4 linked regions of the Elephas maximus indicus genome follow. The protein of the gene in region 1 interacts with the protein of each later gene in a pairwise test. Links are inferred from orthologs where the notes say so. Each region holds a gene or a part of one and is shown on either strand. Other genes may lie near its edges.

Evidence for each region.
Region 2: the proteins of TACC1 (region 1) and SH2D4A interact in binary tests that used the Homo sapiens proteins (3 or more experiments, as listed by UniProt). The two-hybrid records come from large-scale screens. The link is inferred for Elephas maximus indicus from reciprocal best matches to the Homo sapiens genes TACC1 and SH2D4A.
Region 3: the proteins of TACC1 (region 1) and MEMO1 interact in binary tests that used the Homo sapiens proteins (3 or more experiments, as listed by UniProt). The two-hybrid records come from large-scale screens. The link is inferred for Elephas maximus indicus from reciprocal best matches to the Homo sapiens genes TACC1 and MEMO1.
Region 4: the proteins of TACC1 (region 1) and CKAP5 interact in binary tests that used the Homo sapiens proteins (3 or more experiments, as listed by UniProt). The link is inferred for Elephas maximus indicus from reciprocal best matches to the Homo sapiens genes TACC1 and CKAP5.

What each region holds. Positions count from the first base shown.
Region 1 is NC_064840.1:61,920,596-61,927,800, forward strand, and holds the start of TACC1 (transforming acidic coiled-coil-containing protein 1), read right to left. Parts: upstream 3,011-7,205; 5' UTR 2,650-3,010; coding exon 2,489-2,649; intron 1,525-2,488; coding exon 1,409-1,524; intron 1-1,408. UniProt on the Homo sapiens protein: Involved in transcription regulation induced by nuclear receptors, including in T3 thyroid hormone and all-trans retinoic acid pathways. Might promote the nuclear localization of the receptors.
Region 2 is NC_064840.1:56,713,324-56,720,604, reverse strand, and holds the start of SH2D4A (SH2 domain-containing protein 4A), read right to left. Parts: upstream 3,001-7,281; 5' UTR 2,580-3,000; intron 2,410-2,579; exon of another isoform or gene 2,241-2,409; intron 2,017-2,240; exon of another isoform or gene 1,930-2,016; intron 1-1,929. UniProt on the Homo sapiens protein: Inhibits estrogen-induced cell proliferation by competing with PLCG for binding to ESR1, blocking the effect of estrogen on PLCG and repressing estrogen-induced proliferation. May play a role in T-cell development and function.
Region 3 is NC_064844.1:35,654,595-35,662,352, reverse strand, and holds the start of MEMO1 (protein MEMO1), read right to left. Parts: upstream 3,006-7,758; 5' UTR 2,875-3,005; intron 2,523-2,874; exon of another isoform or gene 2,193-2,522; 5' UTR 2,176-2,192; coding exon 2,115-2,175; intron 1-2,114. UniProt on the Homo sapiens protein: May control cell migration by relaying extracellular chemotactic signals to the microtubule cytoskeleton. Mediator of ERBB2 signaling.
Region 4 is NC_064825.1:102,292,534-102,299,522, forward strand, and holds the start of CKAP5 (cytoskeleton-associated protein 5), read right to left. Parts: upstream 3,002-6,989; 5' UTR 2,912-3,001; intron 1-2,911. UniProt on the Homo sapiens protein: Binds to the plus end of microtubules and regulates microtubule dynamics and microtubule organization. Acts as a processive microtubule polymerase. Promotes cytoplasmic microtubule nucleation and elongation. Plays a major role in organizing spindle poles.

The sequences.
Region 1 (7,205 bases):
GCCTTTCACCAAAGTGACTAGACTTCCCTATGCAACTTGCGAAGAAGTTATCAAGCAATAAAATACAGTCACTGTGGGGAGAGAAAGTCATAGTTCAAAAATTAACTGGTAACTGCAAGCTGTCTGTGCCATTCTTGGGTGACAGTGACGGACACTGGAAAAGAGAAACCCCTTAAAAAGGACATCTTTCCAGAGTCCCTCCTCAATCCAATAACCAGTGAGCTTTTACAAATAAAGTCAACGCACAGACCCTCGGCTCTCTCCAGTGTCTTCCATCAACCCGAAGGAAAACCAAATCTTCATCACAGTGTGATCTGGACCTGCCCTTTTCTCTCCGGCTCCGGCTTTCCCTCTGCCACTCTACTCTAGCCACAGTGGCCTCCTTGCTGGTCCTCACACATGCCAGGCACCCTCCCACCACCTGGCATCACTGCCCGCAGGCTGCTCCTGCCTCAGCCCTTTGCAGATGCCATTCTCTCTGGATGAAAAGTTCTTTCCCTGAGAATCTACGAGGCTTGCTTCCTCAATCCTCCTTCATATCTCCACTTAACTCACCTTTTCAACCATGCTTCCCTTCTCCCACCTCATACTCCTTACTCCCCCTCCCCCTGCTTTATTTTTCTCCATAGCACCCAATATAAGTTCACATATATATTTTGCTCAACCCTTAAAAGGTCCACCTCCCTTCACAATGTTAGTTCAGCGAGAGCAGGACTCTGTGCACTGCTATATCCCTGCACTCTACTGAATGAATGAATGATTCCTATCAGGAGAGGTGACGTTTTATTCAAAATTGGCTTTGTGACAAAAAAAGGTTTCCACTAATTAAGTGAAGCAGCTTCTATAGATGAAGGACAGACACAAAGCTGGGCTGGGCTAGGAGGGGATATCTGTGCCTGGGTTTCTTAGGCGGGCTGAAGGGGTTCCCCCTCATCCCTGCGTGGAAGAGGGAGAGGTAAGCCATTCCGAAACAGCCTCTTCAGAATCTACCTTAAAACTCAATTCTTATCTAAAATTTGTGTTTCCAGCCACACCCCTAAGGAGTGACTTAGCCTGAGGTTTGTGAAGCCATATCTAAACATACCCCCACCCCTGCATTACTACCAGCTAAGTTTTGTTCTTTAGGGGCAAAGGGGAAGGGCCCAGCAAGAAGGTCTGATAATGATAATCTTACAATGCAAACACATAAACCCTACTCAGGGGAGAAAGCCTGTGACCATCACACTCTTTAAAAAAAGAAGGAACTCTCAAATAACCCAGGAGCTCTAAACAGCTCTTTCTGAGTAAGGAGTCAAACAATCCAAACCCTTTTCAGTGGTCCTAAATTAACACTTCGCACCCCCCCCGCCCATGCACATTTTTCAAAACTTTAAAGCCGAACAGGCAGAAAATGAAAGTTTGTCTTTACCTTGGGCTTTGGCCCCAGGCCCTGTCAATCCTAGTGACGAATCCCTGGATCCCTTGAGAGGCAATCTGATCGGCGTTTCAGCTTCAGGAGTCTCAAAATTACCTTCAGAATCCGAGCTGCCAAGGGGGAAAAACGAGGAATTACCACTTTCAACGGTATTTCTGACACTTTATAATCTAGATAGTCACAAAGGCCACACTCCAGCATTTTCTGTCTAACTTTACATCCAAATGGTCCTCGGCACGGATCACCCTGCCCGAGGCTGCTGGCTACGGTTTCCTAGCGGTGCCCTCCTTGGGTTTCTCAGCCGGGCATCCTGTCTCCCTGAAATCTCTTCGATCCTCTGGAGCTCTTCTCTAGCACCGTTTATTTTTGAAGTCATCCCTCCCTCTAACACCCCCCAAAAGCGCTTTAACAGACTCCTTTCCTCCGAAGAGCCATTTCCTACAGGTTTAAAAATTCTCATCCCCCACCCCCGCCCAATTCTCGCCATGATGCCTTTTTCCTCAGCAGGCCTCTACCTGTTTGGAACCCACTCGGCCCCAGGCTGGGAGTGCTGTCACCTGCCTTCCGCAATCACACGGATGACAGCTTAGCAGAGACCACCATTTCTCCCCAGCTGCCAAGGGCCTGTCATCACGCGACCTTCTTTACCAGGGCTGCATTTTTTGGGACACAGCGGGGCCTTGAAGGGCCAGGGGGCGACTTCTTCCCCACAGGGAAGGTTCTAAGTTCCACGAGATGTGATCAAAGGAACCGCCCGTGTGTGTTTGTGTGCAGAGGCAGGGGCTGGGGGGTTGACGCTTGGAGAAAGTGACCGAGGCAGAAGGGAACGCGGAGACGCTGCAGATTCTGGGTTGGGTTCAGAAAGCTCATATTGACATGGAGGAAAGAAATACACGGGAGGACACAACACCCTGAACTTTCGACTGCACAGCGGGGACCTGGTTATGGGCAGGGACGTAGCATTGCCATGAACACGGTTACGCGGGTGGGCGACCACACACACGCACACAGAACGAGCCGCGGGTGAATGGATGGCAGCACGTTTGCATCTCGGCAGGGATGCTGTGTACTTGCCTGAAACTCAAGGATTTGGTCTCGGCTTGCGAGTCCTCCTCCTCGGGGTCTCGCTCGGGCCCTCCGGCCTCGTCCTCTCCGGCGCCCCCGCCGCGCACCGCAGACCACGTCCATTTCGCCCACTGCACGGGGGACAGGATCTGCCAAGGGCTGAACGCCATCAACGCGGCACCTCCGGCTCCAGGTCCTAAGGGGGGGGAAGGGGGAGAGCCTTTTTCCCTTTCAAAATGGAGGGAACCGGTGACAGGCGCCCCTAAGCGGTTCCAGCCAAGGCGCGGATGTGGTTAAACGAGCGCCGTCGGGTGCGCGGGTGGAGCGCTTCCTCTCCGCCGGCACGCAGCGCCGCTTCCTCCTCGTCCTCCTTCCCAGTCGCTGCGGCCGTCTCCGGGCCGGGTTTCTCCCGCGGTGAAGACGCCTCTGCTGGGGCCTCAGGTCTCCGGCCCGCGGCGCCCGGCGGCTCGGCCTCGGCGTCTCCGCGTCTCCAGGTCCCCGGGTCTCCGGCTCGCGCCTCCTAGCCGGCCCGGCGCGCATCAGCTGCCGCCGGAGCCGCGCCCCAGGAGCCGCCCCCTCGGACCGTACTACTTCCGCGCGCGGACGGGGGCGGCGGCGGCGCCGGCGCTTTGAAGTCTGCGATGCTCCCAGCGGATCCCCCCGCCGCGGCGCGGCGCTGGTTGCGACTCGACTGCGGGAAAGGGGCTTCCAGGCTGCGACTTTGGGAGCGGGCAGAGGACTCGGGCGACCCCGACAGCACTGTGCTTCTCAGGGGCGGGGAAAATCCATTTTCTGAGTCTGTGCACGCTGGACTTTTCCTCCTTCCCTTTTTGTTTTTTCATTCCGTTACAGTGACTTAATGACGTATTGCTGATGTTGGATCGCACAAAAGTTCAGCCCCTTATAAAAAAGGCTTTGGAGCCACTGTTGACTGGTTTTTTTCCCCTGGCTGGTACCGACAGGGTGGAAGATTTCAGCCTGGTCATCTTCCACCCTAGCACTCCCAGGCTTTGGAAATCTCTCAGCAACTCTACGAGCGCTAGTGGCCAAGGACTGGAATTTAAGATGCCTTGTGCCTCCCCAAACCGCACTCCTGGAGGCTCTGAAGTTGTCCAGTCTTGGGTAAACGGTGCTAAATTACCCCTGTGAAATTACAGTCTGGTCGGTGTCCCATTCTCCTTTTTGAGGCGTCGTTTTCATAACTCCCAAGTCTTTGCATCACTTGATTTTTGACTTGGTTTGTCAACAGGCCTGGTGAAGGCAGCCTTAAAAATATAAAAACACTTTTTCCGTTTGAAGGGACACACAGAGCTCTCCTCAGATTGTCTTCATGTTCTGTTTAGGGATTACTCTTCTCAGAACCACCAACTCGGCAACTTCAAAGGCTGAAAGACCTCCTTGCCTGTTTCTTGTACTGTTACTATCTATGATTTCCCAGAGTTGCAGTGGATCTGTGAGGCGGCTGCAGCTTCTCACAGAGAGAGCAGCTCTAGAATTTGGGGACAAGGTCATGCTGAAATTGCAAGAGACTGACCGTCTCCCCAGAAACGGGTTGGCACACATATTGCTGACGAATCTCGACTGTCATACACATTCGATAAGAAAAACAAAAGCAAAAATAATGCAAGATAAGACTTGGCAGGTAGCCTTGCCATAACGCAGGCATGTGTTTGAAGCCTAAAAAAGGAAAGAGTTAGGGTGTCTGGATGCTTGAGAATTCACCCAGCTCCTTCTCAGAGATAAACACAACTGTCATGAGTGTTCTAGGGATGACAGAGCTGTGAAATAAGCAGGAATCATCCTTTAGATCCAGATGAAATGTACCACAAAACTATTCAACTATTTTTTTTTTATTTTTTCTTTAGGTTTATGCTCACCAAGTAAAACTCATGATTTTGTGGTCTCCCCAGGTTTCTATATTTGACATAAATGCCCTGTTGCCTGGAAATATATCATAAGCTGGCATATACTAAATCCCGTTCATTCTTCATCCTGAATAGTTCTCCAATCTTTTCATTTCTTTGTATCCCTACTGTGATTGACATAGTTCTGTCACTCCCTGTTTTCCTGGAACTATTGTTAATCTCCCAACTGGTTTGGCTTGTGAGAGTTTTTTTCACCTGGGGTCACCCCTGCCTGGCTGACCTGTGACTAGTGCTGTCATCTTGTTTTGCCTCCCCCCCGCCCCACTCCCATTCATTTGTATTCCTAGTCGCAACCGCAATTGGTAGAGAATTGGTGGTAATATGCCTTCTGCTTTGGGGGCGCGTCTTAAAAACCAGATTCTCAGACCCATAAAAAAAAATTTTTTTTTCAGACCCATGAATCCAGATTACCAGCAAGATCTGAAAATCTGTATTTTTACCGTGTACCCTGGGGAATGTTTATCACAAAAATTCAGAAAAATGCCTAGCTCGAACCAACAAATTGCTGCTTCCAGAACAATCTCCTTTTTGCCTGCAGAATTTTGCACACACCTGGAACAACCCCCCTCCCTCCAAGCTTGGAGTTCTTAATTGCCCTAACAGCCTTCTTCACCCAGCAGCGTCTACTCTGGGAAATCAGGCTGATTTCTGCCTTTCTGTTAACATTTCTATGCCTCATTCATTCATAGAGGCTTTTGCTGTGGCCCTCAGTAGTTTTGTACTCTTAATAGTTACAACAGGACAAAAGGCATAAACCTGCAGTGTCCCAGGCAGACCAGGATGTAAGGTCACCCTACACTTAGCACACCATGTATAAGGTGTCTGTTCATATATCTGTCCCACTTTGGGACTGTAAGTTTCTAAAGGGCAAGGGCCATGTCATCTGCATGATTTATTTTTGTTTCCCCAGAGAATAGCACAGGGCCACACACTCAGTAGCTGTTCAACCAATGTATGATAAATGATTATCCTAGTTTACAAATAGTCCTAGTGAGTTTGGCTAAAGTGACATGAATTCCAAAAGCCTGACTGCTGAGAAAATTAAATTCTGAACTAGTAGAGAACAGGGCCCAGACCAGTGATGGTCCCAATAAGACAAAGCCCCACCTATACAGCAAAATTTTGAAGCTAAAGCTACAGTAAAATCACTCTTCTGCCAATTCTTGGACTTAACGTGAGCAACAATGAAATAAAGAACCACTCAACCGCTTGCACTGATTTTATTTGCCAGAAATACAGGTAATGAGGCAAGCTGATATATCAGTTTTCCTGTAATTTGGGGAAAGAATGGGCAATAATGTTTTGACAACAGATATCCTAACCAAGGTGAACCACCATTTTGCTGCTCCTAACTACCACAGCTTCACAGAGCAGAATGTCTGCAGATACATGACCAAGTAACCAGATGAACTGTATTTGCTTTGGAAGTGACCTTAAGCACAGAAACGGCCCCTTCTGTTCTCTTTCTTCCCTCTGCTTCTCTCCCCTTCACAGAACCTTTGGGTGAATCCACGATGAAAATCTAAAATGTAACACCTTTGAAACACTCCACAAATACACACACCTGGCCTCTAATCCATGATCCAGAGAGGTCTACAGAATGGTCCCTTCAGTCAAAAAAATAAACAAAGAATAAGCAAACCAACCAGGCAAACAACTACTCACTTAGTAGTATAGAGACTATAGGAATCCATGTGGGAATTGGCAGGAAGTTTTTTTTAGGGGCAGAGGGAGGGTGGGGCCTAACTGTGAAGGATCCCGTACCCCCATTAAGTTGTTAGAACTAAATCCTGTAAAAGGGGCACACACAGGCCTACCTAGATAAGGTGAGGGAACAAAAAGGCTACGTGGTCGCTGAGGTTTCAAGAGATCGCTGCACGTCCGAGGGGCAGCCTACCCAGTCCATATTGTCCATTGTTACCATCTAACAATTTTTCAAGAGAAACCAAAATCTTGGATTTTCTAAGAAATCTTCCAATCTTTAATGTTGTTACTAATTTAAATTGTTCTTAAGCCTTGTGGAGGCCAACACCATGCAGACCAAACAAAATCGATCCATGTGCCTACGTGGCCTATGCAGGCTGGAGGGGCAAAGGGGAGTGAGTCATCAGGTTTTTAAGCAAGTAACATTTCCGCTCAGAAAGATTGAGCTGGCAACAGCTTGGGGGTAGGGATGGAAGGAGGCAAGCCTGGGAGAACTGTAAATCTGCTATTTTCCCTGCCCCAAAGGGAGTCCCTGGGTGGTGCAAACAGTTCAGGTGCTCAGCTGCTAACAGAAAGGTTGGAGGGTCAAATCAGTCCAGAGGTACCTCGGAAGACAGGCCTGGTGATCTAAAAAAAATTTTTTTTTTTTTTTTAGGCCTGGTGATCTATTTCTGAAAAATCAGCTACTGAAAACCCTATGGAGCAGTTCTACTCTGACACACATGGGGTCACCATGAGTCAGAATCAACTCGAAGGCAACTGGTTTTTACATGGCCCAGAGAAGGGAGAGAAGCAGATTTGGAATTAGTGTCCTCTTTCACACCACTTGTCCAACAAGTACCAGTGCCATAAGCAATCCAAGCACAATGGGATCGCTTTCCCAATGGAAGGGAAAGAACACCCCTACTGCTGAGAAAGCTGAGATGAGAGGGCACTTGTCTATGACACGGTGTTGGGGGAGCGGAGGAGGCAGCAGGGGAGGGGAGGGCCAGGACAGCAGTAGGGAATCACAGAGCTAAAGAAGTAACCACTGAGAAAACAAACATCAAGTGGTACAGAAAAGCCTGTGTAACTTGTCTGTGGAAACCCCGGTGGCT
Region 2 (7,281 bases), about 5.2 Mb from region 1:
GTCACTTTAAGGACTAAGGGGCACCTGACCCAAGCCATGATATTTTTCAATTACGTCGTATGCCTGCGAAAGCTGGGCAATGAATAAGGAAGACCAAAGAAGAATTGATGCCTTTGAATTACGGTGCTGACAAAGAACACTGAATATACCATGGATTGCAGAAGAATGAACAAGTCTGTTTTGGAAGAAAACAGCCAGAGTGCTCCTTGAAAGTGAAGATGGCGAGACTTCATCTCACATACTTTGGGTATGTTATGAGGAGGGACCAGTCCCCGAAGAAGGACATCATGCTTGGTGAAGTAGAGGGTCAGTGAAATAGAGGAAGACACTCAATGAGATGGACTGATACAGTGGTTGCCACAATGGGCTCAAGCATAACAAGGATTGTGAGAATGGCTTAGAGCCAGGCAGTGTTTCATTTTGTTATACACAGGGTCGCTATGAGTCGGAATGGACTGAGTGGCACCCAACAACAACCACATGTGATATAATCTAGTATGACGCCATGGACACAAGTGGAGCCAAGGTAGAGGAAATAAAAATGAGGAAATTAACTAACCAGGGTTTTTCCCACTTTCATTCCCTGATATGATTCAAACAACTCCTAGTTATTCAAGACTAATAAAAAGTTCAACTAACTTGGTTTTTTTCTTGTACAGCACTTGTCCTAAAAGACAGAAAAGATAAGCAATAAGCTCACACCTACTATGCATTTCAAAAACCAATTTCCAAAGAGTCATAGGATCAATTCAGTCTTCCATAAAGTCCATAGATTTCATCTGATTCTCCCATCTGCCACAGCCGCTGAACCCCTCAAAGATTCCCCCCCAAAAGGCTGAAACAGCCTAAATTATAAAAATATTGTGGTATGAGCAATACAATTTTAACGTTATAATAGAGCTTTAACTTCTAATTCTTTGAAAATAGCCACTTCCATTTTCAAAATTCCCTTATCTTGTTCAATCTGTAAAGGGGCTGCTTTTGAGGACAAAATGAATTACCAGAGAGGACAGCAATTTGGGAAGTTGTTTTATAAGCATATATCAGCCTTCGGAAATTTGAATTTACTGCAACACAAGGGTTTACCTAGAGAATTCCACTCATGACAAATCTATGGCCACATTATGCCTTCCACATACTTATTCACTTTTAAAATACTTGTATCCAATAATTGTAACAGGCTTTTATGAGGTGAGGAGAATCTAAGTTTAGAGACAGGTGCAAGGGTTGCTTCCGCCTCGAGACCCTTGATCAAGGAGACACAACGCCGAGCAGAAAACCTACAAACCGTGGTTTCTCACTGCGTCTCCCAATTCCCCTCCCACCTCTATTCAGACTTGTGCGTGGACCCCGAGGAAAGGAGCGCGGCTGGAGCGGGCAGGGGTGCCCACCTGTTTGAGGAAGGCCACCCGGAGCACACTGGCACCGTGCCTGGCTCTGCCTTCCAAGCCGGCAGCCTGTGGCCCACCTAGGCCAGGGAGGTGGCGCGCACCGATCCCACGTGGCCGCGCCCGGGAACCACTGCCGAGTAGGGCGCCGGCAGAAACAGTTTTCCCAGCCCTCAAGAAATCTCCTCGAGGAGAAAGTCAATATGGTGCTATAGACGCGGGGTGTTTGTTCGCACAAATGTGGCGGTGGACGTCATAAGGTGGACGGGTGACCCAGAACCAGAGCGAAGAGCGAGAGAGACGTGGCTCCCCAGCACCGTTCTACTGCTGGAGTCCAAAAGCTAGGGAGCGCCAGATCCTCCCACGCCGGCCACCCCGAGGCGCCCCGCCTGCGCCCGGTGCGTAATCATGCGTTGTGTGCTCACACACCCCTCGAATACACGTATCACCCGCCGGGATCCCCAGAACTTCCCCGAAGGCCTCCCCCTCTAGCTTCACCCCTAGAACCACAAGCCCCCGGCCCTCCGGGGCCGCTGCTCACCCAGCCGGCGGCTTCGGACACCCGACACCTGACATCTGACACCGTCCACCAGCCGCCGCCGCTGCGCTAGCCGCTCGGCCCTACACCTGAGCGCGCCCGGGGCGGGACGGAAGGGGGCGGAGGAGGAGGGCGCGCGGCCGGGACCGAGGCCTCGCCCCGACCTTCCTCCGCTCACAGCCCCACCTCCCCTCGGTCCCCGGGCCTTCACTGTCTGGCTCGAGAACACTCCGGACACACGCACACGCACACGCACACACACTTCTCCCAGGCCTCCCCTTTCTGGTCTGCTCCCCCCCCCCCCCAGCATCTACCTGTTCAGGGCACTGGGATCGCGTGGGCAGGAGGACCCCAGCACCTGCCACGTCTAGTTGGGCCTCCAGAAGTTGTCGGGAAGGGAGGCAGGGAAAAGCAAAGGCGCCCGCGAGCTTTACAGACTGGCTGGACAAACACTCAGGCGGTGATGTTGGCAAACAGCGTCCCTCAGCCCTGGCCCGCCCGCGCTGCCCCACCCGCGGCCCACATGCCCGGCTGACTGACTGGGCACTTGGGGCCCCACCCGTGCGCCAGGAGAGGCTCCAGTGGAAGCTGTCAGCGAGACTTGGCTGCCTACTGCATCCCAGGCAGGGCTTGTCCTGCGCGCTGACCCCTACCTGCTGTGGGGTCCCTTCACACTTCCACTCCCAGTTAATTGGAGGTGTCGTGTGTAGTCTGTGATGGCTTGCCACGCCATCTCTCCGGTCCTGCAGAACTTATTAATATCAGCAGGTCCAGCCTCTTCTTCACTCCGAAGTTCAGGGTTTCTTGCAAGGAGGAGTCTGCAGAGGCCCAATAGGCCCTTCTCAGTTACACTGACCGGGTCCCGCAGGCCAAGTTGGCTCACCCTCCCGGGTTCTGTTCTTGCGTCTATGGAGCTTTTTTTCCTTTCTTTCTTCCTTTGTTTTGTTGACAGTAAGTAAATTACCAAACTCTCAGGCACTTGTAAGTAAGTACAGGTATGGCTTTGTAGAACAGGCTCCCAAAACAGAAAAGCTGGGAGGATGGAGCCTGAAAAAGAGAGAAATGGAGACGAAATGAAAGCAAACTGGAGAAAAGGAAAGGAAGTAAAGGAATCTTGTGAATGCAGCAAGAACAGGTCAGGGTGGTGCGTGAGGACACTAGGGAGGAGCTGACAGACGACTGGAAAAGGGAATTTTGGAGGGAAGTTCAGCAGAAGCACAGTGGAAAGATTATAGGGCATTTTGGCATGGCACAGGAACATTCAAAGTGTGTGGAGAAAAACCGCCTGCTTTGATGAACCCTAATTGCAGGTGTGTTGGGAAGAGATAAACAGTGAACACTCAGTTTCTCCTCCCCTGCACAGCCTACCTGATACATTCAGGAGCCAGGCTTGCCTGGTTCAAAAATAAAACTGTTTCTCATTTCTAGTGTCTCCGGACTGAAGAAGATTCTCAAAGTTAGAGTCTTGGGCAGGGGCAGATGGGCAGAGAGCAAATCCTGGGTATTGTATGGAAAACATGACCCAGCTGTTTAGGAGCCCATTCTAGGAATCCTATTTGGGGAGAATTTCTGGCCTGATTTGGTTCTGTTCCCACTGCTTATTAAATAAATGCCCTGGCGGGGGGCGGGGGGGGGGGCTTTAGGCTGGAGTGTGATTTGCCAATGCTTAGCTGATGTGGCCAGCTCAAAATGAATCCTAAAACTTAAGGATTTTGAAGTTTTTTAAAGGGTGGTTTATCAGACAGTAGGACACTGGTTAAAACCAATTACCTTCCTCCACACTAAGTTTTTCTCCATGGCCTGACAAGTCTCTCTTTATAATAACTGTCTCCCTTTGCTACCAATTTTACCTCAGTTTACCCATTGGGATAATAGCAGCACCTATTGTATTGAATTGCTGTGACAGCAATAATACATGTAAAGAGCTTACAACAGATCCTGGCAAGTGATAAGTGTTCAAGCATGTTAAATCATATTATTCCACACTAAACCGAAAAAAAAAAAAACCAAACCCGTTGCCATGGAGTCGATTCCAACTCATAGCAACCCTACAGGACAGTGTAGAACTGCCCATAGAGTTTCCAAGGCTGTAATCTTTACAGAAGCAGACTGCCACATCTTTCTTCTGAGGAGAGGCTAGTGGGTTTGAACTGCCAACCTTTCGGTTAGCAACCAAGTACTTAACCACTGTACCACCAGGGCTCCTTTATTACACACTACCAAAAACCAAACTCATTGCCATCGAGTTGATTCCAACTCAAAGTGACCGTATAGAACAGAGTAGAACTTCCCCATAGGGTTTCTAAGGAGCAGCTGGTGGACTCAAACTACTGACCTTTTGGTTAGCAGCTGAGCTTCTTAACCACTGCACCACCAGGGCTTCTATCACACACTACATACTACAATTTCAGGTTCTTATCACCTCACCCATAGGCTATGCCTCCAGTGATAGCCAGATTCCAAGTTAGCTTCAGAAATGATCCCTGTCTCCTGGTATTCACACCCTTATTCACACCGTTGTATAGTTCCCTCCCACATTGTACCAGGGCTGGTCTGTGTAACCAATAGAACATGGTATGTCACTTCTCTCCCCCCTCCCCCCATGTCCCTCTCTGTCTCTGTGTCCCTCTCTCTCTCTGTGAATTTGCTATGAGAGAAGACAGCTGCCACGTCATGAGCAACCCTATGGAGAGGCCCACACAGAGAGGAACTAAGGGTTTCTGCCAACAGCCACATGAGTAAGCTCGGAAGAGGGGCCTTCAGCCCCACTCAAGTCTTCAGATAACTGCAGCATTGGCCTACAGCCAGAAAGGAAACTCATGAGAGACTCCAAGCTAGAACCTCCCAACAAAGCCACTCTTGAATTCCTGACCTACAAACTTCGAGATAATAAAGTTGTTTGTTTTTTTTTTTTTAATTAAGCCACTACATTTTTGGGTGAGTTGCTACACAGCAATAGAGGACTAATATACCTCCTAACTGGTCTTCTTTCTGAGACAGTTTTAGTTAGCTTTAGTGTACAGGAAATTTACCCAAGTAGCTTACTTAAAACACTTCAAACCTAAGAAATACAGTAGCAGAGGGGCCCAGGGATCTGTGTTTTGAACAAGCACTCCAGGTGACTGGGTCAGAGGTGGGGTTACATACAGATCACGTGCTTAGACACTCTGCTCTAGGCAATCCAGGTCAGACATTTCTGAATAGACTTGTCAAATTCATCTTTTCAAACACTGACTCAGATCCATCACCCAGTTGCTAAAAACCTTTGGTGCCCACACTTCTTCCTGCACAAAGAATTAAGGCTAAAGTGCTTGCCAGCTGTCAAGGACCAATACCATCTGACACGAATGTCTCTCGGCCTTATTGTCTTCCTAATACTAACCTGTTGTTCCTGTTACTTGGGATCATATTAATTCCAACTCATGGCAACCCCACGTGTGCAGAGTAGAACCGCTCTGTAGGGTTTTCAAGGCTGGGATCTTTCCAAAGCGGATTACCAGGCCTTTCTCCCAAGGGGTCTCCGCGTGCATTCAAACCACCAGACTTGCAGCTAGTAGTCAAGTGCTTAACCCTACATTCAGATATTTTGGCATTTTCCAGGTCCTAAACCTACACAAACACTACAGCTTCACACCATGCCCTTTGTCCAAAATGTCTCAAACATTGCTTATGAAAAGCCCAACTGTCCTTCAAAATTCAATCTTTAGGAAACCTATCCTCTCCTCAGCCATAAGTGTATCACAGTTTAGCACTTAACACACCCTAGAAACATTTACGGGACTCCTACTAGGTGCCAGGCCCAGTACTGATACTGGGGGATGGCAGAAAGTAGACAGCCAGGGTCCCTGCTACCATCTGCAGTGCAGCATGGCTGCCACGGAGAATAACAGTGTGTATATTTTATGCTCCCTTGAAGCCGCAGACCCCCAATAGCAAGGAACATGTCCTATACAAGACTAAATATACTTAATACCTAAAGGCATACAGTAGGTATTCAATGAATGTTGGTTGAATGAATGTTAACAGCCCAAATGAATGTAGACTGGACAAAAATAGTGCAGCCATTCTCTCAGCTTGGGACCCAGTCTCACTTTCATTGTCTCCTTTCTATCCATTTTGTCATGTGCCTCTCTCGTGTACTTATAACTGTCTCTCCTCTTCTTCTCTTATTTCAGTAGTTTTTTCTCCAATCTCTTCTCTTTGTCTCCTCTCTCCTCTACCACCTTTCCCTTTTGTTCCCTCCCTCCTGCCTCCCAGTATTTTCTTTTTCAACTGACATAATGTGGAATGGAAAACATACATTGCTTCCTTAATTTCCAAAATAGGCAATTAGAATGGTTTATATGGCTCTAAAGAAAGCAAGCAAGGGACCCTGTTACCTATTTATGTGACCTTCAACTACTTTTTCTCTCCTTTTGGGCTGGTAGCACTCAGTAGAAAACATTTCCTTACTCCATGATCTACAATGTGTTGTCACAGGAACGTAGGGAGATTTGCTGACTCACCTACTGGCAACACTCTGGATACAATGTGGTATCTAGGCAACCAGGCCTTAGCCAGGGCAGGCACTGCATGCTGGGTATTGGCAGTTCAGCCCTGTAAGATGGGTGCCACCAGCACGTTGTTCAGGTGGAAGCGTTTCCTCCACCCGCTGCCAGTACATAAAGAGGAAAGCTAAATATCTATTTACTAATTTTTATTTGCCATTTATTTGTAGTTATGAACACCATAAAAGAAAAAAATTAATGACGTGTTCCCAGGCATTCCTTTGAGAATGGTGCTTAGGAATGCTGCTTCCTAGGGCTGTCGTGTACAGTCACATGGCATGGCCCTGTACAAGTAATATAGCTCCTAACTGGTCTTGTTTCTGAGACAGTTTTAGCTAGCTTTAGCGTACAGGAACACCTAGGTGGCTTATTTAAACACTTCAAACCTAAGAAATACAATATCCATGGGGCCCGGGATCTGCATTTTGAACAACCACTCCAGGTGACTGGGTCAGAGATGGGGTTGCAGATAACACACTCAGAAACTCTGCTCTAGGCTCTCCAGGTCAGACATTTCTGGATAGACTTGTCAAATTCATCTTTTCAGCGTTGACTCAGATCCATCATCTGGTTGTTAAAAACCTCTGGTGCCCACCCTTTTTCTTGCACAAAGAGTTAAGACTAAACTGCTTGCCAGCTTTCAAGGCCAGGACCATCTGACTTGAATGTCCCTCAGCCTTATTGTCTTCCTAATACCAGCTCTATGGAGGTGCTAAACACAGAGACTATGATGTATAAGGTGACCCCTGGAGTTGTCACACAGCAGCCTTAATATTGCCAGAAAGACCAGAGGTGCAACTTTCCACTT
Region 3 (7,758 bases), on another chromosome or scaffold:
CACAAAGCCTGGATCTTTTTTTAATAAGGTTCTCTGACAATTCACGCTACCAAAATGACATTATTGATTTCACTCAGAATTTCAGAAAATACAGATGTTTAAAATTTTAATAGTTAATTTTAGCTTACTGCTTAGAAATAGCTATATCACAGAATTTTCTGAACTGGAAACAACCTTAAAGGATTCATCTTATATTTGAGAAGATATACTAAAGAAGACTTTTCAAGTCCAAAGTGTTATTTATGCCTTATTTTACTACCCCAAAAAATGTTCAAGAATCTATAAAAATGCCTCTAAAATCATTTGCCCACATTTCAATGCAAACTCAAAAAAAAGTTTAAAACATTTATGGAAAGGTTCAGAAAACTAATACAAAAATAAACCAAAAGACAGCATCAAAGTGAAAACTAAATAACAAAGCATGGAAGAAAAAGCTTAGTAACTTACAGCCCAGAAAGACTATTACACTGACAAACTGAGTATTAATAAGACACTAGCCTGGTGATTGGAGGATAAACCCAAGAGCAAGGGACTCCCATTTCTCAACTGCTGTTCTGACACTGTTTTAGTATAGACATTGTCTTGGGCACATTATTGAACTTCTCTACATGTTTCTCTATAAGTTTAACCAGAATAGCTTAACTAATATCCTCAGGTTGTGAGAACTGATTAAATGCTTATGAAGTACTTTAGGATCATGAAGGGTATTTCCTGTACCCATAAAAAAAAAAAAAATAGTACTTGTTTAATACAAAACTATAGCTAACTGTAAGAATTATAAATCCAACCATGACAATACTTTTGTGTTTTCCTGACACAGCATATCTTCAGCAAGTAAGGTGTGTATATTTAAGAGCCAGTTTAGCAACCTCAGAGAAATTAATTTTCTTCCAAATCTTAGTTTTCTCACAAATAGAAGCACTATCCAACCCAATTATTTGCAATGGGAACACGATCTGATTCAACATTAAGAAGTTAGGTCTAGTTGTTGATAAACCAGTTCCAAATGACTGAAGACTTGGGAATCACAGTGGAACTTTCTTTTTTAACATACCAGAATATGTGACTCCTAAAAATAATCCCAGAAAACAGTCGTTCTAACAAGAGCTTTTTAAAAGGGAAAGCCATACACTCTTATATAAGGAACTCTAAAATGTATGTAAACAGTTGTTAAACTAGTTCCTTACGTAGTTCCAGCAGCTGCTTGGTGTTGAACGACTAGACACTGGGGAGGCTGCTCTGGAAAAGTGCTGATGCCATTTCCAGCTGCCCCGTTCGTGAATGACAGTAACAATGAAAACACTAACAAAGAGCTGGGAGGCCACCCAAAGCCTCTCTCAGCAGTACTTCTGCACTACCCCAACATACAAAGCTACAAATCCCGAAGAATGCTCTTCTTTTACAGAGCTCACACGCTGAGACCTTGTCTAGTCGAGTACGTGAAAAAGTACTATCCTTCACTCCCAGCCTTTCAAGAGCGCGGAGCACCTTGGTGCCTCTCTTTCCAAACTGTCAGAGGAAAAAGGAGAAAAGACTTCCTCTCACGTTAAGGGGTGAAGAGAACCAGGTGTGCAGATGGAGACAACACCCTCTTGGTCGAGGGCGCCTCAGGCTTCGCCGGCGGGAGGAAAGGAGAGCAAGTCCCTCGCTCGGCAGAGGGCGGAGGGTCGCCCTCCTCTGGTGTGGGAGAAGCGGGACTCCTTCCCCGGGTGGGGGTGGCGGCCGCCTACTTCCCGGGAGCCAGAGGAACCAAAGCCCCTCCGTGGAGAGGTGACAAGTACACTCGGGTCGGGAAGCACAGGGAACATTCCTTCCTCGAACCTGGCCCCGGGCAGGAGGAGACTGCCGAGGCGGCAACTCGCCCAACTCTGGGGCGAGCTTGAGGGCGGCCGACCCAGGCTGCCCGCGCCGGACGCCGCCCGAGTGGGGGAGGCGGCGAGGCCGTCCTCCGGCCCGCTCCCTTCCTACGCGGACCGTGGCCGGCGGCCCGTCCGCACCCTCGTCCCAGCCTGTCCCCTGGGGGCCAGGCCGCCGACCTCCGCCGGCCGGGCGCGGGGCCAGGCGGCGGCGGCGGCGGCGGGCCGACCAACCGGCCGGCCGGCCTGGGGCCCTACCTGAGGCTGTGTACCAGCTCCCAGCGTGACTGGCTTCCCGGCAGACCACTCGGTTGGACATCTTGGTGCCTGTGCCGCCTATGGTGCACGAGGATGAATGAGGAGAGGCGACGGCAGCAGGAGCGGCTCTGCTAGGGGACGAGACACCGCGGCCCGGCCCAGGAGGCGGCGGCAGTGGGGAGGGGATCGGCCCGGCCCAGGAGGAGGAGGAAGAGGAGGAGGCGGCGGCCCAGGAGGAGGAGATGGCAGCCGGGGCGGCGGCGGTGACACCAACAATCACCACAAACTCCGCAAGCGCCGGAAGATGGGGCCCTCGGCGGCTTCGCCGAAGCCCGGAAAGCCCTGGCCCGGGCCCCCGGACTCGCCGCTGCTCCCCAACCGGGGCTGGTTCCCCGGGGCCGCCCCCACGGCCCCTCCCCTCCTAGTCGGCTGTTCCGAACCACAGCCGGTGACCCCACCCCCGTGACTCCGTGCCCGCCCCTCCCCCCACCCCCACGGGGCTCCCTGCACCCACCCCCACCCCGGGCAGGGCCCTTCTGCCTGCTGGCCCGCCCGCCCGCCCGCCGGCCCCGCCCCGTCCGCTCCGCCTCCCGGCCGGGCTACTAGTTTAACGGCGGACACCGGACAGGCCACACAGCATTTAAGGTCCGGAAGCCGTGCGAGGAGGCCGCGGTGGTGGCTGCAGCTCCGCACACACAAAAGCCCAGGGTTGGGGCCTGAACCGGGGAAAACAGCCGGAAAAGAGCCAACGCTTCCTTACTCGCCACTCTACCGGGTCCTGCCCACTGAGCATGCCCAGCAGCCGCTGCCAGGCACACCGAGGAATCTCAACGTGCACGCTCCGCTTTCCGGGGTTTAGCGGCAGCAGAGGCTGGGAGGGTGAGGACACGGGGTGTAGGATGTAGCCACAAGGCCAGCCCCCTTCCCCCCCCCCCCCCGCCAACTTCCTTAAATGGAGAGCACCTAGGGCACTCAGACTGGACGGTGCATGTGCAGCACGTAACCCCCACCGTCCACAGAATCCTTTCTGGGTTCGCGCCCCCAAGGTGTCAATCCTATGAATACAACTGTGTGGCCACCTCAAGAAGTTAATTTGTTGAGGCAAGCATGTAGTAAAGGGGTCCTGTACATGCTAATACTTGCTTCACAGGGCCACTCATAGCACCTAATCGTGGCTTTTACACTGTAAACATTTATCTTGTCTCACGTTATATTTATGTTGGTGTGTGTCTTATCTCCCTAAGTAAAGTGTGATATAGCTAGCCTCAGTTATTCTCATCCATAAAAAGGGGATAACAGTACTCCAGGAGTGTACCTAGGATTATAAGAGTCGATGAATGTAAAGAGCTTGACAAGTAAGACATAAAACATTATTTCTACCCCTCCCTTATTACAAATTCCAGTATTACACATAATTATAAAATAATCACAACGAAGTAGGGTTATCTTGGTTCTCTGCAAAAGTGTTATGAAGTAGACCATTCCGAAACCAGTTAGAGAAGTTGCTATATCCTCAATAAAAGATTTCGGGTTAAAACTATGAAACTCTTACAACTAAGTTTCACAATAAACAGGACCCTGGTAGAGACAAAAGGAGACTAGTGGCTATTCAAGCTTAGGTTTCCCTAGTGCTTAGGAAATAATTTTTTTAGGGACTGTTATGTACTAAATTGTGTCCCCCAAGAATGTGTCAACTTGGCTAGGCCACGATTCCCAGTATTGTGTGGTTGTACACCATTCTGTGATCTGAAGTGATTACCCTATGTGTTGTAAATCTAACCTCTATGATGATAATCGAAAACCCTGGTGGCGCAGTGGTTAAGAGCTATGGCTGCTATCCAAAAGGTCTGTAGTTCAAATCCACCAGGCACTCCGTGGAAACCCTGTGGGGCAGTTCTACTCTGTCCAATAGGGTCGCTATAAGTTGGAATCAACTCAATGGCAATGGGTTTTGGGTATGATGATAATGAGGCAGTGTTAGAGGCAGTTATGTTGATGAAGCAGAACTCAATCTACAGGATTAGGATATATCCTGAGTCAGTCTCTTTTGAGATATAAAAGAGAGAAACAAGCAGAGGGGAGAGGGGGGTCATACTACCAAGAAAGGAACACAGGGAGAAGAGCGTATCTTTGGAACCGGGGTCCCTGTGCTGAGAAACTCCTAGACCAGGGGAGGACTGATGACAAGGACCTTCCCCCTGAGCCAACAGAGGGAGAAAGCCTTCCCCTGAAGCTGGTGCCCTGAATTCAGACTTCCAGACTCCCAAACATGGAGAGAATAAATATATGATTGTTAAAGCCCTCCACTTGTGGTATTTCTATTATAGCAGCAGTAGATAACTAAGACAGAGGCTATTCTCAACTCTGTTCCCTCCTTCTCACTTTTTTTACCGTCGAGCCCTAGGAGTTTGTGTGAAAGCCCAGACCTAAAGCCTAGTCAATTTCTGGAACACTCCTTCACACCATTTTCTACATTGTTATTAGGCTAAAATTTCCACTTTCATTTTTTACTCAACCTTTACCATCTCACTTCACTACTATCCTGTCCAAATATTAAGGTAGTATGCTGAAAAAAAGATTTCAAACGGCAGCTCGAGAAGACAAAATAAAGTATTATAATGACATGTGCAAAGACCTGGAGTTAGAAAATCAAAAGAGAAGAACACGCTCAGCATTTCTGAAGCTGAAAGAACTGAAGAAAAAATTCAAACCTCAAATTGCAATAATGAAGTATCCTACAGGGAAAATATTAAACAACACAGAAAGCATCAAAAGAAGACGGAAGGAATACAGAGTCACTACACCAAAAAGAATTGGTCGACATTCAGCCATTTCAGGAGGTAACATATGATCAGGAACGGAAGATACTGAAAGAAAAAGTCCAAGCTGTACTGAAGGCACTGGTGAAAAATAAGGCTCCAGGAACTGACAGTATACCAATTGAGATGTTTCAACAAATGGATGCAGCGCTGGAAATGCTCACTCGTCTATGCAAAGAAATTTGGAAAACAGCCAACCAACTGGAAGAGATCCACATTTATGCCTATTCCAAAGAAAGGTGATCCAACCAAATGCAGAAATTATCGAACAATATCATTAAAATTACACACAAGTAAAATCCTGCTGAAGATTATTCAAAAGCAGCTGCAGCAGTACATCAACAGGGAACTGCCAGAAATTCAAGCCAGATTCAGAGGAGGACGTACAACCAGGAATATCATTTCTGATGTCAGACCAATCATGCCTGAAAGCAGAGAATACCAGAAAGATGTTTTCTGTGTTTTATTAACCATGCAAAGGCATTCGACTGTGTGAATCATAAAAAATTATAGATAACATTGTGAAGAATGGGAATCTCAGAACACTTAATTGTGCTCATGAGGAACCTATACATAGGTCAAGAGGCAGTCATTCGAACAGAACAAGGGGATACTAAATGGTTTAAAGTCTGGAAAGGTGTGCGTCAGGGTTGTATCCTTTCACCATACCTATTTAATCTGTATGCTAAGTAAATAATCTGAGGAGCTGGACTCTGTGAAGAAGAACAGGGCATTAAGATTGGAGGCAGACTCATTAACAATCTGTGATATGCAGATGACACAACCTTGCTTGCTGAAAGTGAAGAGGACTTGAAGCACTTACTAATGAAGATCAAAGACCACAGCTTTCAGTATGGATTACACCTCAACATAAAGAAAACAGAAATCCTTACAAATGGACCAATAAGCAAAGTAATGATAAATGGAGAAAAGATTGAAGTTGACAAGGATTTCATTTTACTTAGATCCACAATTTAAACACCCATGGAAGCGGCAGTCAAGAAATCAAACGATGCATTGCATTGGCCGAATCTGCTGCAAAAGACCTCTTTAAAGTGTTAAAAAGCAAAGATGTCATTTTGAGGACTAAGGTGCACCTGACTCAAGCCATGTTGTTTTCAGTCACCTCATGTGCATGCGAAAGCTAGAAAATGAATCAGGAAGACAGAAGAACTGACGCCTTTGAATTATGGTGTTGGCAAAGAATATTTAATATATCATGGACTGCTAAAAGAATGAACAAATCTGTGTTAGAAGTACAGTCAGAATGCTCCTTAGAAGCAAGGATGTTGAGACTACATCTCACATACTTTGGACATGTTATCAGGAGGGATCAGTCCCTAGAGAAGGAAGGACATCATGCTTGGTAAAGGATCAGTGAAGAAATGGAAGACCCTCGATAAGATGGACTGACACAATGCCTCCATGGGCTCGAGCATAACAAGACTGTGAGGATGGCACAGGACCAGGCAGTGTTTTCTCCCGTCGTACACAGAGTACATAGGGTTACTCAGTCTGAACCAACTCGGCAGTACCTAACAACATGCAAAAAAATAATAAATGAATATGCCATTTAGGAATTCCAGAAAAAGTAGGACTGAAGCTCTGATTCCATAGGACTGTTCCTGGAGTACTAAAATTCAGTGATAATTGGTGGAACAGTAAATATTTCAACCACTGTAAAGTTTAAGAAAAGAAAATATCAGAACTGTTGATATAGTGACTGCTCTTGTAGTTAATTATTGCAAATTTTGTTCCTGGGGGTTTGAGGGGACTAGATATAATGAAAGCTTCTTATTTCAAGCCCTTCAAGTCAGAAAAGCACATTTGAGTCCTGGCTCTGTCACTTATAAACTGTATGACCCTGCGCATCTAGTAATTTAATCTTTTCAAGCTTCAGTTTTCTCATCTGTCAAACACAAGCAAGCTTGCCGTAAGAATCATTTAGTATGGTATGTGAAAATTCTTTATAAGCTATTCTTTATAACTATGTGTTATCATTATCCTCTGCTATTGTAGCAACAATAGTAGGTCTCATTCCAACCTAGTAATCTAATTTAAAATTAAGCCTCCTCCCTATTAAAATGCTCAGTTACACACTTCTTTCCCCAGAGGAATTTTCTTACTGCTCAAACTCTGCAAAGACAATATCAATTAAAGTAGAAGGTTAGAGAATCTTCCATTGTCTCTTTAGAAAGCTCTGAGTATATACCAGCAATATTCCCCACGTCTACCCTATTTTGGCTACCTTATTCAAGGATGTTTACACTGGCTAATGCTTTTCAGAAGTAGGCTGCCAGGTACTGGCCATTTTGAATCAGACAATCATATAGTCTACTATGCTGGGAATGACAACTCGAAGAAGAATGGTATTGCATTTATCATCAAAAAGAACGTTTCAAGATCTATCCTGAAGTAGAACGCTGTCAGTGATAGGATAATACCTATACACCTACAAGGAAGAGCAGTTAATACGACTATTATTCAAATTTACGCACCAACCACAAGGGCCAAAGATGAAGAAATAGAAGATTTTTATCAGCTGCTGCAGTGTGAAATTGATCGAACATGCAATCAAGATGCATTGATAATTACTGGAGATTGGAATGCAAAAGTTGGAAACAAAGAAGAAGAATCAGTAGTTGGAAAATATGGCCTTGGTGATAGAAACAATGCCAGAGATCGAATGATAGAATTTTGCAAGACCAACGACTTCTTCATCGCAAATACCTACTTTCACCAACATAAACGGCAACTATACACATGGACCTCACCACATGGAACACACAGAAATCAAACTGACTACATCTGTGGGAAGAGACAAT
Region 4 (6,989 bases), on another chromosome or scaffold:
GAAACCTCATAGGGTTTCCTAGGCTGTAATCTTCATGGAAACAGAATGCCACATCATTCTCCTACGCTGTGGTTTTGAACCACCACCCTTTCAGTCAGCTGCCGAGAGCGTAACCACTGCACCACCAGAGCGCCTATGAGTCCGAATTGACTTGACAGCAAACGACAACTGCCCTGATAGGACTAAGTAACATATTCTGAACTCTAGAAGAAAGAACACCAGAATCCCTTAAGAACCTCAAAACTCTCCAAAACTGACGACCAGAAATTCATAAATTATAATTGGATTGAGACTTCAATTTTAAATTCTCCCTCCAGTTCCCCACCACACTGTCACAGCTGTCTATCTCCCATATTGCTAACACTGTATTTTCAACTGTGTCCATCTTCCCTCTAAAAACTACCACGCGCCTGTCACTCATACTTCATCATGTCTTTAAATAGAAGAAAAAAAAGTGTGGGAAGGAGCGATTCTACACAGAAATTGCTCGTGAATTGTCCCTATCAGACCCCATTACTTCACATAGCATTAACTATAGGTTAAGAGCCTTACAAAGACCCTGTAGACAAACTTGGGTTCAAAATGATGTTCTGTCACTTAGTTGTATGATCTTGAACAAGTTACATAACCTTTCTAAGACTCAGTTTCCTCATCTGTAAAATGTTGTTGTGAAGATTAACCAAAAAAACCAAACCCATTGCTGTCTAGTTAAGTCAATTCCAACTCATGACCCTACAGTGACCTACTGTACAGAGCACAACTGCCCCATAGGGTTTCCAAGGACTGGCTGGTGGATTTTTGATTAGCAGCCAAATGCTTAACCACTGCACCACCAGGGCTCCATTGTGAAGATTAGAAAAGATAAAATGTGGCACCCAATGAATATTCAAAAAATGTAGCTAGTGCTAATAAATGTATTTGAGAATTTATTTTGTTCAAGGACCACAGCTGGGCCACAGAGATTATAAAAATTACAATTTGCTACAATAAATTGTTGGGGGGATAAAACTGTAAAACTCCCTAAGGTCAGGGGCTTTGTCTTTTTCTGGATCACCAGGGTATTCCCAGAACCTAGAATAGAGTTTAGAACAGTGCTGTCATTGTGTGCTATGGAGTCGGTTCCAGCTTATAGCAACCCTATAGAACAAAGTAGAATTGTCCCATAGGTTTTCTTGGCTGGAGAGCAGAATGCCATATCCTCCTCCCACTGAGTGGCTAGTGGGTTCGAACCACCAACCTTTCAGTTAGGTTTAACACATAGTAGATATCAATCTCCGTATTTGTTGAATAAATGAATGAGACCCCATTAAATCAAAGAAGCAAAAGAAAGTCTGGCCGTATGTCAAGACTTTTAACACTATCCGAAGGCATTGTTAAAGATGCTCATTATTTTTAACTGCTTCTTCAGAACCTAGACCAGTGTTCGTAATATTTAAAGTACTCAAATTTATTACAATTTAAAACTCTGCTAAAATTGAGCTGTCAGTTGTAGAAGGCTTTAGTTGTGGTGGAACTACCTCACACCACTCCTTATAATTCAACCCTGATGATTAAGACTTTTAAAGTAATAAGAGAATAAAGTATAAATATTGCCTGTGTGAAAACCTGTGTTAAAAATTTTTTCTCACGAATTTACAAACCAGGTTTAATTTATGCTGGCAAAAGAAATCGATTTCACTTTTTTCTATATCATTAATTTTTATAAAACAATACATTTTGTCCAGTAATTTATAGAAAGTCCAAATATTTTATGACTTCATAAAAGTTTCAAAAAACTTAGCTTAATTATTGGCAGCTGCTATTCGTGAGGTCAAAAAAGGACTTCTCAGAGAGATAAAAATGGGGAAAGGAGGAGCTCACCTTTCGAAAAATGAGTTTTCAATTACTATAATTATACATAAAATAAGACAGGCAGCATTTCTGGGCCAAGATTTGATGCCCTGGTTCCCCCGAGAATTAAATTAGAGCCATGCATAAATGTGGGACAAGTTCTGCAAAAACCACTTCACCCTATAGAGACACTGAACGAAAAACTCATTAAGATTCATCGAGACAAATACGTATATTTTCTAACCCACAGCGGACACCCTGGCAACACCAATTTCATCATTTTCTATGCCAGAAACAAAACAGGATGCATTTAAATTCTTCCTGACAATTACCAGGGTTGCAGGGTAACTATCTCAATGGTCGATGAGTGGTTAAGCGCTAAAAAGTAAGAGTGTAGTTTACCAGCACCCCCCCTCCCCGAACTAGCAAGGCCTGATTAGCTTACACTGCTGGCTGTTATACTGGTCCTCAAACCCTACAAAACTGGAAAGCCACCTAAATTCTATCGACACCTTTGAAAGGCTTAGCCTCCTGCCCTAGAGAAAGTCAGGCGTTAACACCGGAGCGGTGAATGACCAGAATCGTTAAAATCGCAGCAAGCCAGTAGGGACAGAGGTGCGCGGCCAGGCCCCGGTACCACCGCCCTTATCATACTCCGAGGCGACCGGGCCCTTCAGAACCACCACAGTCTTCCCAGGCTCTCATTCATTCATTCGACAATTACGTGACGAGCACAATCTCAGGGCCGGCTCGCAGGGCCCCCGCCCCAACCCCGGAACACAGCCGCTAGCCGCGGCCCTGCGCCGCTCGCGCCTCCTGGGTGCTGCCGCCCGCGCCCCTCCGGTCACCGGGAACCCAGCCTCGGCCTCGGTCGCACACGCACGCCGGCGCCCCACGCACACTCCCAGCCGCAGGTCCCCGGGCCTCCGCCCCGTTTCGCCGCCTCAGCTCTGCCGGGTTCGTGGGGCATGGGAGGCGCGCGCCCACGGAGGTCCTCCGACCTGGGTTCGGGGACCCTCCGCGCGCGCGACGCCGAGATCTGCGGGCCTGTGTGGTTGGGTCAGGACCACCGCCCACTCACCTCAGCCGGGTCAGAACCGAGGGGCCTGCTCTAAGCCGTTTAAAACCGCTTGGGCCGCCGCACACCCCGCAGTGTCCTCGTTGTCTATTGGTGCTCGACTGACTGCCCATCGCCCTTCTATTGGTCCATTTGAAAGGACTGTGGGCACGCGCCGCCCGCAGCCTTAAAGGGGCCGCGCGAGTCGTGTTTCCCTCGGGACCGTGCCTTGCCTGTTGGGGTGAGGAAACTCCCAGGAGAAAGAGAGGTTCGCTGGAGCGAAAGCTGCCCACGATCCCGAAAGAAAGGACGAGAGGTGTGTGTAGAGATGTGTACCCATGGCTGTCAGCACTTTTGCTTTATTTAATTTCAGATATTTAAGCTGCTGTCTACAGCTGGCATTTTTTTTCAGTCGTTTCGTTCAGAAAATATTGATTGTGCGGCTAAGTGCTATGAGGAAAAGGAGAAGCAGCTGGGATGTGATGTAGTGGAACGGGACGAGGACGGTGGATTCTGGTCTTGGACCTAAAAAAAAAAAAAAATGCTTTCGAGTTGATCCCGACTCATAGCGACCCTATAGGACAGGGTAGAACTGTCCCCACACAATTTCCACGGAGCGGCTGGTGGATTAGAACTGCGGACCTTTCGAATAGTGGCCGAAGGCTTAACCACCAGGGCCCTGTCTTGGACCTATTACTGAGTAAATCACATTACTCAGTTAATAAATCTTCCTGGAGCTTAGTTTCCTAATCTGAAATAAAAAAACATCGATAGCACGATGTTTCCCTTGCAAGCTTAGTGTGAGGATTTAATGTAACTAATTAAAAATGTCTGGGAAAAGCCTTTATGAACTGTAACTCATTTTGCAAATACTCCATACTCTTGTTATTTTAAAAAATGAGAAGCTTGGTTAATATGTTCTCTAAAATTCTTGTTTAGCAATACATTCATATGTCTGTGAAAAAGATCAGGTCCTTAACTCCAAGGAACTTGCAATCTACAGTGGTAGGAAGATAAAAGTCGCTAAAATTCAAAGCTGTATGGAACTGTATAATGAAAAGCTGTAAATGCTTAGTGAAGGGAGAAATTCAGTGGCTGAGGCAGTGGAGTCACAGCAGATCACACTGGGTGACACTGTCAGAGGGAGTAACACAAAAATGACTGTCTGAAATTTTTGTGCAATGTTTAGAGCAGAACTTTTTGAGTTTTTATTAAAAATATCCCTGTAGTTACAACGATGAAGAGCAATGATGAATCCTTGAAACATCTCATAACATGAATGAATCTGGAAGGCATTAGGCTGAGTGAAATTAGTCACAAAAGGACAAATATTGTATGAGACCACTATTATAAGAACTCAAGAAAAGGTTTAAACACAGAAGAAAGCATTCTTTGATGGTTACGAGGGTGGTGAGGGAGGGAGAGACAGGGGAATTCACTAAGTAGTAGACAAGAATTATCTTAGGTGAAGGGAGGGACAACACAGTACGGGGAAGTTGGCACCACTGGACTAAACCAAAAGCTAAGAAGTTTCCTGAACACAATCAAACACTTTGAGGAACAGTGTAGCAGGGGTGGGGATCTGGGGACCATGGTTTCAGGGGACATCTAGGTCAATTGGGATAACAAAATTTATTACGAAAATGTTCTGCATCCCACTTTGGTGAGTGGCATCTGGGGTCTTAAAAGCTAGCAAGTGGCCATCTAAGATGTCAATTGGTCCCAACCCACCTGGAGCCAAAGGAGAATGAAGACCACCAAAGACACAAGGAAAATATTAGCCCAAGAGACAAAAGGAGCCACATAAACCAGAGACTCCATCAGCCTGAGACCAGAAGAACTAAATGGCGCTCAGCTACCACCGACGACTGCCCTGACAGGGAGCACAACAGAGAATCCCTGGCGGAGCAAGAGAAAAGTGGGGAGCAGAACCCAAATTCTAGGAAAAAGACCAGACTTAGTGGTTTGACTGAGACTGGAGGAACCCCAGAAGACATGGCCCCTGGACTGTCTGTTAACCCAGAACTAAAACCAACTCTTCAGACAAAGAATAGACTGGACTATAAGACGTAAAATGACACTCCTTAAGAGTGTGCTTCTTAGTGCAGCTTCTCTCTGGAGGCAAGATGAGAAAGCAAAAAGGGATAAGGACCTGGATGAAATGACACAGGAAATCCGCGGTGGAAAGGCGGAATGTGTGGTCACATTATAGGGATAGCAACTAGGGTCACTTAACAATGTGTGAATAAATTTTTGTACGAGAAACTAAACTTGAGCTGTAAACAAACAAAAATAATAATAATTCCTGTAGTTATAGCAACAAAATTTTTTTTCACAAGCCCAGCTTACATGTTTCAGTATACCTAAAGGATAAAACTCTATGCTCATTTACTTTTTGAACATTCTAATGCACTGGTCAGAGCTGTCATTATTACCCAATTACAGTGAGCTTTGAATCACATAGTTTTGTCTGCACACTCTACAAGCATGCACTGTTGTTTTTGTTGCTGGTGGTGTTTTTATAGTGACTGATTTTGTCAATTTTCTGGTGTTTTAGCTACAATATTGTGGTAATTAGCATGGGGGGGTGACACCATGAGTCATCGCACTAGGTGAAACCAACCCTAGTGACACCACTGGGTGGGGGATCTGTAAAGGAGATGAAATTTTAATCTGAGATTTGAAGGATAAACAGGTTACCAGTAGGCTTTTAATGGAGAGGGGATAGGTAAAAGCAAATTAAAACCACAATAATACTTTTTTTTAATCAGAGCTATCAAAATCTTTCAAAAATCTTGATAAAGATGAAAAAGTTTAATAACCTTGGGTTAGCCAGGATTTGGAGAAATAGACACTCAAACACAGGGTTGGTGGGTGTGTGGAACAAAGAGTTGGCATTTTGTCTCTCATTCCTGAAAATAGCCCTTGGAATTTCTCAAGCAATCAAAGTGCCGTTGTTTTTCCAAAACAGTCTGGCAACACTTATTGTTGTTATTGTTAGGTGCCATTCCAACTCATAGTGACCCTATGTACAACAGAACAAAACACTGCTTGCTTGGTCCATACTCATTGCTATGTATGAGCCCACTGTTGCAGCCACTGTGTCAGTCCATCTCGTTGAGGGTCATCCTCTAGTTGCTGACCCTCTACTTTACCAAGCATGAGGGTCCTTCTCCAGGGATTGGTCCCTCCTAATAACATGTGTCAGTACGTGAGACAAAGTCTCACCATCCTCTCTTTTAAGGAGCATTCTGGCTATTCTTCTTCCAAGACAGATTTGTTTAAGTGTTTGACAACACTTAAACATGTGCAGGAAACCCTGGTGGTGTAGTGGTTAAGAGCTACAGCTGCTTACCAAAAGATCAGCAGTTTGAGTCCACCAGGCGCTTCTTGGAAACCCGATGGGGTAGTTTTACTCTGTCCTATAGGGTCACTATAAGCCGATGAGGTGGGAGGCCAAAGACCACACCAATCGAAATAACTTCTGGAAGGGAGAGGGGTATTATGCAGCCATGCATATTCAGTAATTCAATCAGTCATTGACTATACATTAAGACTCCATCACACATATACACTGAGGTCCCAATGACTATTAAAAAGGACCCTAGGCCTTGGACTGGCACATCTTTGGGGACGAAGCTCAGTGCCAAAAACTCTTCCCAGACCTTGCCTGTGCCTCTGTTCGTGTATATCCTTTTGTGGTTATAATTAAAAGTTTTAGTGACTATAGTCCTTTCCGTGAGTTTTGTGTGCCATTCTAGCAATTATTGAACCTACCTGGGTCATGAGGGCCAACAGGGCCTGGAGCCTGCCTTTTTGGCAGTTGATTAGAAGGATAGAGTCCTAACTTGTAAAGACCCCAGCCTTGGGTGGCTGGTGGACAGAAGAGGGCTGTGCAGGCAGTCATTTTGTAAAGACTTAACTCAGGGTGGTTAGGGGCAGAGAGAGAAAATGCCATGTGGGTGGTTGGTGTCAGAGATGAAGAAATGGGAATGCAGGGATGTGAATTATCTTCACATTTGGAGAATCAGCCTTGTATCAATTATTAATGCAATGGGAATACAACTGGTGCAAACTTTCAGAAGACAATTTGGCAACTATT